3 linked regions of the Canis lupus familiaris genome follow. The protein of the gene in region 1 interacts with the protein of each later gene in a pairwise test. Links are inferred from orthologs where the notes say so. Each region holds a gene or a part of one and is shown on either strand. Other genes may lie near its edges.

Evidence for each region.
Region 2: the proteins of ARL6IP1 (region 1) and SHMT2 interact in binary tests that used the Homo sapiens proteins (3 or more experiments, as listed by UniProt). The two-hybrid records come from large-scale screens. The link is inferred for Canis lupus familiaris from reciprocal best matches to the Homo sapiens genes ARL6IP1 and SHMT2.
Region 3: the proteins of ARL6IP1 (region 1) and SNX10 interact in binary tests that used the Homo sapiens proteins (3 or more experiments, as listed by UniProt). The two-hybrid records come from large-scale screens. The link is inferred for Canis lupus familiaris from reciprocal best matches to the Homo sapiens genes ARL6IP1 and SNX10.

Annotation. Positions count from the first base shown.
Region 1 is NC_049227.1:26,551,705-26,555,451, reverse strand, and holds the start of ARL6IP1 (ADP-ribosylation factor-like protein 6-interacting protein 1), read right to left. Parts: upstream 2,815-3,747; 5' UTR 2,692-2,814; coding exon 2,656-2,691; intron 429-2,655; coding exon 295-428; intron 1-294. UniProt on the Homo sapiens protein: Positively regulates SLC1A1/EAAC1-mediated glutamate transport by increasing its affinity for glutamate in a PKC activity-dependent manner.
Region 2 is NC_049231.1:1,710,016-1,713,762, forward strand, and holds the start of SHMT2 (serine hydroxymethyltransferase, mitochondrial), read left to right. Parts: upstream 1-1,287; 5' UTR 1,288-1,390; coding exon 1,391-1,423; intron 1,424-2,041; exon of another isoform or gene 2,042-2,157; intron 2,158-2,213; exon of another isoform or gene 2,214-2,305; intron 2,306-2,397; coding exon 2,398-2,598; intron 2,599-3,104; coding exon 3,105-3,184; intron 3,185-3,337; coding exon 3,338-3,538; intron 3,539-3,747. UniProt on the Homo sapiens protein: Catalyzes the cleavage of serine to glycine accompanied with the production of 5,10-methylenetetrahydrofolate, an essential intermediate for purine biosynthesis.
Region 3 is NC_049235.1:39,728,601-39,732,247, reverse strand, and holds part of SNX10 (sorting nexin-10), read right to left. Parts: intron 1,908-3,647; exon of another isoform or gene 1,459-1,907; coding exon 1,246-1,458; intron 860-1,245; exon of another isoform or gene 791-859; coding exon 709-790; 3' UTR 1-708. UniProt on the Homo sapiens protein: Probable phosphoinositide-binding protein involved in protein sorting and membrane trafficking in endosomes. Plays a role in cilium biogenesis through regulation of the transport and the localization of proteins to the cilium.

The sequences.
Region 1 (3,747 bases):
GGTTTTCTGGGAAGCTTCAGAATATGATGACATCATAGCTGCAATGGTTAATGTAAACATCAAGAGACAAAAGCCCCTTGGGGTCCTCAATACTTTTTAGGAATATAAAGGTTCTTTAGGCCAAAAAGTGTGAGAGCCACTCATTTATTCAACTGGTTTAGGTTACTGAAAACTAGGAGAACTGCTCCAAGAAAAGGCATTCTTTACAGATTATAGGTTACAAAAGAGGCTGTGTGTTACCTGAGCCCTTATTAATAACAAGCACAATCCACAATAATTTAATAGCTCACTTACAGAAACAGCAAAGAAACCACACCCATGATGGCAGGTGGAAACCAGGCTCTTTCCCATCTGAGGACTTTATCAGCCATCAGCATCACTTCTCCCCATCCCTGCAGCTGCTCTTCCAGACTTGCAGTCTCTGCAGCCTACACAAGACCAACATGTAAAGTGATCATTTTACCACTCCCAACATTTCTGTGCTTCTCAGTTAATTTTTTTTAAGACACCAAGAATGTAAAAGAGCCCTCAATCAAATCACTATCTTAGTTTCTAAATAATTCTGCAATTTTGGTAGCAAGACAGAAATCAATTAAGGGGGGGGGAGGTGGCAACCTACCATTTAACAGTCACCAAGTCACCAAGTCCAAGCACTGGGCTACTCTTCATACATAATGTTAACAATCCTAGTAGAGGCCCTCAAAGTAGGGATAAGAGACCTTATCCTTATAAGACCTTATGGATAAGGTCCATCTAAGTGACCTTAGATGGGTAACCAGCTTTCTCAAAGTCATGCACTAAGTGGCAGCACCCAAAATATAAAATTAGATCACTTCAAATGTGCTCATTTTTCAGGTGGTTAGAATTGATTGATCTGTTGTTTTGTCATCTCATTGATTTATACTCCTACTTCTAAATCCATTAAGAAAGCCTCTCTCTGAACAGCATTCAATTTTTAAAATAGCGCTGTGTAATGGAATCCTTTAGATGCTGGCATCATTTGCACAATTAAGTAAAACTTACTTTCACCAAATTACATGAGGCATCTCAAGCTCAGTGTATCTCCATACAATGAGTGCTTCTTACACTTACCAGAACATTTGGTTAGACTTCAAATTTCTCTGCAAGACTGACAACCTAGCTGAAAGTAGACTTCTGGAATGAGCTAATGTGGCAAAAAAAAACACAAAAAAACAAAAACAAAAACCCTATACTGATTTTGGTACAGGAAAAAAACTAGAAAGAAACCCACATGCCCTTATAAATGTTATCATGGGGAAATATACAAAAGAGAGAGGACAGGACAGCCTAATCTTACTAGAGATGCTATCTATCTGTGCCACACTGATTACTTGGGGGACTTCAACATTCCTGACTTTATATACACCACGCTTAATATAGTTAAACAGAAGATTACTATGTGCCAGAAGCTCTAAGTATTTTATATGCTTATACTTTAATTAATCCTCCCAATGAATTCAAAGGATGGTATTGTTACTCGCCTCATTTTACAGATGAAGTAACAGATACATGGAGGTTAAGAGATCTGAACCCAGGAAATCCAAAGCCAAGGGCCTTGTTCTGCTTAAAGTTACACTGCTTTCTGCTGGAAAGAGCAGCTGAGCTTCGGGCCAGGCTCGGTCACCTCAACAAACTGTGTGAATTTGCTGGACAATTTCTTTGTGCTTCGATCAATTCCCCTTAACTGGAACTTGGCCGGAGCTAACTCGGCTAGCCACAGACAAGTGTGCTGGCATGTGCGTTACAGGAACAGGCCGTGCATTTCTAAACACCAATGCAAAACGAAAATCTGGCACCATCACGGCTGCCCTGCAAGGTCACCAAACTCGTTAGCACCCGGGCTCTTGGAATATCCAACGTCAAGGATGAAATGCTGTTTCGTTGTGGCAACGGACAAAAAAAAAAGAAAAGAAAAAGGCAAGGATTTCTCTCGTTTTTTGCCTAGATCGCGCCGTGAAAACAAGTAGGTTAGATTTATCCGCCCGTGAGACACCACTGCAGTTCCTTCAGACCCCTGCTTATTCTAAAGTCCACCTGTCTCTCTCTCTCTCACACACACACACACACCCCTCCCTTGCAAACTCCAGGCAAACCCAAGGTCCTTCCCCACTGTCCTTCCAGCTGGACCTCTAATCCCAGTTCCCCGCGGTGAGTTCACAGCCTCCCTGCGGGTTTAAGCTGCGCCAGCTCCAGCAAATTCTCGCCAGTGGCCCTTTGACCCTCCCCGCCCCTCTCCCGTCCTCCCCCCTCCCCCCACCCCTGCCCAAGTATTGGGGCTAAAGAACGAAGGGAAGAGGAGGGGAACCCCGTAGAAGAGCCTGGGGGCCTGGGGTTCAAAGCGCTCGACAGACAGGCCCCTGGAGGCCTGCGCCCCAGGCTCATCGCAGCCCCCCCTTCTCCCACTTCCTCCCCGATCCGCGGGGGCTGGTCACGCGCCGTCCTCACCTCGCCCCGTAGCTGCCCCACGGGGTGTTAAGGGCCGCCCGGTCCGGGACCGCCCCGCTGCACCCACCCGGGGCCGAGGGGGAGGAGGGCCGGGCCCACCACGGTGGGAGGAACGAGGCCGCAAGAGCGCTGCCAGGCTGAGCCCCCGCCCAAGCCCGGAGGCCCCTGCCTGCTCCCCTCGCGACTCACCAGGAGGTTGGTGCTGCGATTATCTCCCTCCGCCATCGTCCCTGAAGTGCCGCCCGAGCGAGCGCAAGCCGGCCCCTCCCGCACACAGCGAGCTCCGCGCCGAGACCCGCACGGCGACCCAGGCGCGAAGGGGACGCCCCGCAGGCCGCTTATATACACCAGCCAGCCTTCCCGACAGGCCCCGCGAAGCCCGCTCCTCATTGGGTGGATTGAACTCAAGCTCCGGGGCGGCCCGACCAACCGCGGCCCGGCGCATGGCTTGAAATCGGGGTCAAAGGAGACCGAGGCCGCGCAGGCCGAGGGGGCGGGGACAAGGAGCGGCCAATCAGCGCCCAGGAGCTGTGGGACGCCCCGCCCAGGCCTTTCGGGAGCGGTTGAACTGCCGCGGCGGGGCCCCCCCGCGCCCCGGTCCCGGGCTGCGTGACCCGCGGTGGCCGCCCCGCCGCGCTAGCTCTCGGGATTTAGTCCTGGGGGAAACAAAACACGCCCCGCGTTATCAGGAGGACGGCGCGGTGACGCCGACCTCGCTGCGATCGGTGGCCCTCGCTGCGCCCCCGCGCGGCCACTCGGTGGCATTCGCCGCTCGGGCCGCCCCGGCCGGGCCCCCGTCCCCCTCCCCTCCCCCTCCCCCGGCCCCGCGGCTCGGACGCTCGTGCCCACCCCGGGAGGAAAGGGCAGTCCGCCGCGTGCAAGCAATCAGGAGTAAGGCCTTAGCTGGATGGAGGAAGGGGCGGGGGAGGAGGAGCGCAATCTGGGCTTAGTTCTCCAACACGGGGGGTGGGGGGTGGGGGTGGGGAGGGGAAAAGCACCGATTTCTCCAAAGTCGGCTTCTTCGTGGGCGTCTCCAAGGGAACTCCTTGGTGGGGTGGGGCGGGGCGGGGCGTTTGGGTTGCTTAGGAGACGACGACGCCCCTCCGCGTGAAGGGTCAGGTGTTGACCGAACCTCCTTCCTTCCTGAGATGAGAGGTCTTGCTAAGCAAGGAGGTAAACCGCCCTCCTCGGGGGTGGGGGTGGGGGTGGGGTGGATTCGTAAGCAGTTTAGCACCAGACGAATGACTCCCACGTCTTTTCTCTGCAGGATTTCAAAATGCA
Region 2 (3,747 bases), on another chromosome or scaffold:
TCTTTCTCAAATAAATAAATAAATAAATATTAAAAAAACAAATAAATAAAATCTTATTAAAAACATAGAATCAGGGCAGCCCCGGTGGCTCAGCGGTTTAGCACTGCTTTCACGTGGGGTGTGATCCTGGAGACCTGGGATCGAGTCCCATGTCGGGCTCCCAGCATGGAGCCTGCTTCTCTCTCTCTCTGTCTCTCATGAATAAATAAAATAAAATCTTAAAAACAACAACAACAACATAGAATCAGGGCAGCCCAGGTGGCTCGGTGGTGTAGCACCGCCTTCAGCCCAGGGCCTGATCCTGGAGACTCGGGATCGAGTCCCACGTCAGGCTCCCTGCATGGAGCCTGCTTCTCCCTCTGCCTGTGTCTCTGTCTCTTTGTCTCTCTGTCTCTCTCTGTGTGTCTCTCATGAATAAATAAAATCTTAAAAAATATATAGAATCACTGAGGAGAAGTTTCACTGTCACCACGAGTGGGCAAATGTCTACTCATCCATTGAATTAGAAGAGAAGCCTCCTCACATTCATATGTTTAGATTACATTTCCCAGACAATTCCAATACCCAGCTTTGGGGATCTACTTCTAGAGGGGCTAATGAGTCCCGACAAAGTCAGACTAAAATGAAGATCCTTTCCAGGCCCAAGGATCTAGAGCCCCAGGGATATAAAGAGAGCTTGCTTACTGCTGGAGCAGCAGGAGGTGAACAGGTAGCAAAATTCAACAAGTGCAGCAACAGGCAGGGACATGTCACTCAGCTCCGGGGTGTCCCAGGAGGAGGAGACAACCATGGAGGAGGCAGGTCAGAGGATGAGGGGAAGGTGATCCATCCCAGACCATGTTTACATACAGACTCACTTAATCCTCACTACATGTTATTTTTGAATCACGGATGAGGGCCAGATAGGCTAATTTGCTAGTTTGTCCCAGAGGTGGAACTTGAACTCAAGTCTCACCTTCTGAGCCAGGTGCTCTCCAGTGCACTACGGCTTGCAAGCTCCAAGAGGAGTCTTCATATTTTCAAAAAGCCTAATAATGCTAGGTTTTCATTAGGCACCCAATAAAGGGCTGTTGTCTGGACTATGGAAAAAAAACCCCACTGAGCTTGAGGACAATGAGGCGGTGGTACGGCACCGGATCTCTTTTCTTTCAGGGGAGAGCCTCTGACCGCGGGCTACAGATGGGGAACCCGCGGGTTGGGGGCGGGCGGGGGCGGGGAACTACAACTCCCAAGAGACCCTCAAGGGGCCACCGCACGCATGCGTAGGCCCCTCCCCTTGATCCGGTGGCTGCCCGGGCCGTTCTCGCGCACGCGCTGTCGGGTCAGGCGGCTTCCTACCCCGCTCCCCCGGCCGGAGTTGGCGGCCAGACCTCCCGCGACCCGGGCTGCGATGCTGCCCTTCTCTTTGCTCTGGGCCACTCGGGTAAGAATGGGGCTCCGGAGACCGGGGGCCAATAGAACGCGAGCTCCCCTCCGACCCCGGTTCCCATTCACCAGCCCCGGGGTGCCCCCGGCTTCGCGCACGTGGTTTTGGTCCCCCGGGACGGGCGTGCAGCTCGGCAGTGTTCGGGAAGCCGCGCCCGGTGCCCGGGGAGCGCTGGGGCCCCTCCGCGTCCCGGCGACCGGGCGCCCCGGGGCCTGCGACCGCCTCCTTCACGTGGCGTTGGGGGAGATGAGCGCTCAGATGCCCCGCGGACCCTGGGGAGCGAGCGGGGCCCCTGGACCGGGGGGCTGAGCCCGTCCAGCCAGCCCCGAGCCGTGCAGATGATGCAACCCGGCCCCGCTGCTTACATCAGGGGTTCCTTGGCGCTGCGGACTGACGGACGGGACGGGTCGGGGCACAGAGGGCGGGAAGTTGGTTTTGGCTTCCCTGCCTGAAGGCTCCCGCCACCACCAAACCCCTTCCCCCAGAGGTCGCTAAAGGTCCGCTCCGCCACCTCTTGCTCTGGAAACCACGTCTGCTGTCTGCAGCCTGAGTCCTTGCTAGCTCAGCTCCAACCCCCTGACTGCCACGGAGGCCCTGCAGGGGACCCTTTGGTACCTGTGGGTTGGGGAGGTTCTGGAACCTTGGTGGATTGCCCCTGAGCTCCAGAGACATAGGCCTTCTAGAGGACAAAGTTTACCCCGTGGCTTTGCAGAGTGGTTCATGGGTCGAGGTGGAGGGAAATTCTGAGGTGAAATAAATGGACCAAATCAGAACCACCCCCTGGACATTGATCTCAGCCTTGGCTCTAGAACTGGCTTTTTGAAGGTGGAGGCGGGGGTGGTAAGAATTGGAAAGGCTGGCTGGACCACTGGCTGTGAGGTTTGGAGCCAGAAAGCCTGATAAGCATGGCTGAGGGTTGTTGGGCGACTGTTTGGATGCTTTTTATCTGACCGTGGTGTTTCCTCTCCTAGCCTCTGCAGAGATGTGGGCGGCTGGTCAGGATGGCCGCCCGGTGCCAGCACAACGAGGTGGCCCAGACCCAGACCAGAGAAGTGGCGAGCAGGGGCTGGACAGGCCAGGAGAGTCTGTCAGACAGTGATCCTGAGATGTGGGAGCTGCTGCAGAGGGAGAAGGACAGGCAGTGTCGTGGCCTGGAGCTCATTGCCTCAGAGGTGGGGCTTGGGGAGAGGGCCCAGGCATAGGCCGCAGTGGGTGCAGGAGATAACAGGTCATCATACTGATGTTTCTCCAGATTTCCCTCTCGGACTCAGGGCCTTTCTGCTGGGCCTTATCTCCTTCTTTTCTTTACTGAAGAACAGGCAGGGCCAGTCTGGATTATGGGGTGGGGACATTAGAGAGCTTCCAAAGCTGTCCGGAGCCCTTCTAGTCTAGTCTGGCCCCTTCCCCTTCCCGAGAGGAAAGAGGGGCCTGGAAGCACCGGTTCGAGTGGACGGGTGGCCTTGCTGGGGACAACTATCACGGCAGCTAGGTGTCTCAGGATGCTTCCTCTGGCCTTTCTTCAGGCCCGACAAGGAATGCCGAATGAGCAAACAGCTCTCAGTGGAGCCCAGCTCCTTCCTCCCTGCAGCCTGGGGTTCTGGCAGGAAGGGGCTATGGGAGGCTCCAGGGAAGAGGGCTCAATACCTTCTGACATTACCCCCCACCCCCCTCACCCCAGAACTTCTGCAGCCGAGCTGCGCTGGAGGCCCTGGGGTCCTGTCTGAACAACAAGTACTCGGAGGGTTATCCTGGCAAGAGGTGAGGGCTAGGTACCAGAGGGCTGGGAGGCCATCCCTGACGGGCGTGCCCTCAGTATGGATAGAGGAGTGGCCTTCCCAGCCCTTTGCCGCTGGTTGCTGAGGATACTGGGACCCTCTCCAGGTGCCCTGATAAACCCCCATCTCATGGCAGATACTATGGAGGAGCCGAGGTAGTGGATGAGATTGAGCTGCTGTGTCAGCGCAGAGCCCTGGAGGCCTTTGACCTGGATCCTGCACAGTGGGGAGTCAATGTCCAGCCCTACTCAGGCTCTCCCGCTAATCTGGCTGCCTACACAGCCCTCCTGCAGCCTCATGACCGAATCATGGGGCTAGACTTGCCCGATGGGGGCCAGTGAGTACCGGGGTGGGTGAATGGGCTTGGTGGACAGGATGGGCATGGGACAAGAGTTGTTTCCGAACACCACCGTGTGCCACACAGATGGCGCATGCAGGTGTCTCCGTGCCCTGCATATCAGTGGATGAGGAAGAGAAGCCACCAGTAACCAGTGCTCACCGTGCAATAGACCTGGCATGTGGGTGGTGCATACCAGGGCCAGTGTT
Region 3 (3,647 bases), on another chromosome or scaffold:
TCTGGATAATGAAAATGTATTTCTGAATCCATATATTGCAAATATAAGCAAAATGACTAACACTATTTCTGTTTTTGTGTAAGACATCAACATTATTTTAACATGTCTCTATGCATAAGATACACTTTCCATCTAAATGTGAAATAAAATACTGGAAAGGTGAAACTTCTTAAAATATTCCAATCAAACAGCGCAAAGCTAAGTGTTTTTCCCCAGTGCAGGGGGTGGGTGCCCACAAAATATCAGCCACATGTCTGAGAGAGGCGGCCTGGTCTATGCTGTCAATTTCCATCGTGGTTAAGATCATACAGGCTGTATTGATGCTAACACTGTCCCACTGATGCAAGAAGGAATGTGCTGTCTGGAATTTAAATGCAGGCTACCTATATACCTATCTTTTAAAATTCAGTAAAAACCAAGGAGATTTTTCTAAATGCATATATCATTTCATTCCAGGGCAGGATCTTATTTTACCAATAATGTTTGCCTATAAGGAGACTGCATTCACAGGCCTTTAGCTTTTTACAGGAGCTTAGCCAAAATAAGACACAACATAAAAATACCACTAATAAACAACCCAGCGTCTTTAAGAATTTAAATTCCTAATATCATGACAGTGAGCTCTAGGTAAGGATATATTAGCAAGCTTTCTTCTCCATGAGTGGACATAATTTGCTATTCCTAAGATGGTAACATTAGAATTATTTTTCAGGATTCCTGTGGAGCTGTGCTCATCGTACATCCATGTGAACTGCTGTCATCACTACTGTGTCCAAACCCAGAGGATGAACTGGAAAAGAAGAGAGGGGGAAAATAATAAAAAGAGGAAATTGGTTTTCACAACACACTCAAAGCCTGAGTAACAGAGGAGAACTTTAATTATCTCCAGTCACAAAGAGAGACAGGAAATTTGGACTTTTAATTAGCCATTTGGAGTGCAGTTGGATATTTTTTTAGCTAGATAATTTAAACGCGAATAATTCAAGTCTGACTAAATGAAAGTCACATAATCAGAATGCAGATAATTGAATTTCTACTGCATTCATTAATTCAGTGTGGAGGTGTGTGTGAAGACTACTATGATGAGCTGTCACAGCTCAATAAAATCTCAGTCAATTAATTTTTTCATTATCTTAGTATTACATCAACAAAAAAGTGAAGTGTGTAGATATATCTATACACATGCATATGTGCACTCTGTATTATGCAAACACATATACATTACATCGAAATGCAAGGAAATACCTTTCTGAATCATAATCTATATCGTTTTCTTTTTTTCCTTCTTCATCTTCTTCAGGGAAACGTCTGTTCATCAAGGCAAACTTGTGAATCGCGTCTTCTACAGAGTACTTGGTCTGCCCAGAAACGCAAGCCTCAATGTCTTCTGAATTCAAGTGGCTCTGCAAGAAGAGGTGAAGGCAGCTATCCGAGAGCAGGAGTGCGTTCTGTAGGACCCTATGTAAAAGGGAAAAAGGAGAAATGATCGGTGACCAGGGATGGACAGAGGGTAGGACAGAGAGAAACGCTAAAAATGTGCCACTGAAGTAATCTCTTCACTATGGCAAACTTTGCATCAATTAAAGACATTGCCTATTAAAAGGATGAAAGCATATGTTAACTTTTATTCAATTATTTGGAAATTTAGGTGGGTAAAAACATGAAGCTAATAGTTAAGAACATCTGTTAAAAGAATAACTTCAAGGACATTTCTTCAATTTAACCATCTGTTGTGACCATGTGGATTAATTATGGAAAGATTTTGCTTATACTCCTAGAAATTTATTTTCCTTAAAAAAATTTTTTTTACTGCCAACCAGTACGTCTATTCTGTGATCTTTATGGGCTAGGCTGTCATGAAACATCAAAACTTTCAACAACTATTAAAAATTGTATTAAAAAGTCAATATATTTCTCAGCATGTCTTATATTTTAAAACTTTACAAGTATGCTTAGGTACATGTTTACAAGGGCTAACCTGAGAAGTGGCTTTTTTTTTTTGAATACCTAAGACTAACTAAAAATTTCTCCATAATCTTCGGTGGCACTGTGTTTCTATGTCGTTAAAATAAGCCACCAAATAAAATTACTCCCAGCCAATTTTACCATATATACACTTAAAATATGATAATTTTGTGATAAGTACTTATTAGCCTTCCCACATTCAAGGTCAAAGTTTACAGAGAGTACAGATTTCAACCAGTGAGTGCATCAGAACTCCAGGGAAAGCTAAAAACAAGTCCAACAAATCTGTACCGGCTCAAAATCATATTATCACCGAATGTGGTATTTTTTTTTCTGACCTTCATGTCTTCAAACAGGAAATTAAGTCAAAGTACACCCTTATTTTTAAACTAAAACTGGTTTTACCATTTTAGGAAAGAACTTGATATACAATAATTTAGTCTCTATAAATAGTTCAGTAATTATATAATACCAGGCACTCAGACCAGAGACCAGATAGAGGGGACAAAACTAAAACACTAAAACCGGAGTATAATTTTGCCCAACACAGGATTTTGCATAGAGAGCTCTATGAAAACCGGATCATGTATGTCAGACCAAATGAACCTTACCTTATATTCTGCATTTTTACACAAATAATTAGGAAAGCATATCTTTTTTGGGCATTTATGTCAATGTGCTTAAAACTCAAGGTCATTAGAAGATTTCCTTTCCTCCAAAATAAAACAGAGTCCTTTTCTTCAAGAAGGCAAAAGTCTAAACACGTAGAGCATGAAAACCAAAAATCTAGCTTCAACAGGCTTACCAATGTAGCTTGGGAAAATATTTTTACAGGCCTACTAAAAGGAAAAGTAAAACCTTTGTGCCTTTTAAAAGGGCAAAATCTCAAGCAAAGCAGCTAAGTACTTCCCCTCCCCTCCGTGTCCTCTGCCCTGGCTTCTCCCAGAAGATGACCATATCACATGATGAAGATTAATTTACCAAGTACAAGTAGTAAAGTAGTAAATCCCTTTTACTACTTTTTGAGATTTATTTTCTACATTTACAAATGTTTACCACTCTTGTTTTAAATACTTCAAGAGAGGATTTATATGGCAACGACCCATTAATATTAACTTGTGCTCGCCGTTTGCAGAGTTTCCTGTGTCTGCCTGTCAGTGGTCTTCCTGCCAGCCACGGTACAAGGAACTGCTCATAGGATTATACTCACTGCTTTATTTCTGTTGGAAATGTGTTTTATTTTCTTTATAAAATAATAGGTAATCTTTAAAATTGATTTTAGATGGTTCGAGGCATTACACCACAAAAGTAATGAGCACTAATGCCAATGATATTGGACACAAATTCATTTTAGCTTTATTTCATGTCTAAAGCAATTCTACTGAGCCTTGAACTGCTCACGCGCGGTTATTAACTTGCTAGTAACCTAACACATGGGTGCAGCAAACAAAAGTGATCAGAGTCCAGGTTGATCGGGACCTCAAGGCTACTGTCCTTTTTCTTGAGCTATAATTCAATTTCCAATTTTACTGTACATTAGACTCATTATTTCCCAGTGTTTTCTTTTCTGCTTATTACTGCCATCTGGAGGGCATGCTGGTGAAAAGCAAGAGGGAGCCTGCACACACCCAGCTCAGGATTCTGAAGTGGAAGATGTGACCCCCGCTCCCAGGGAGGCAGGA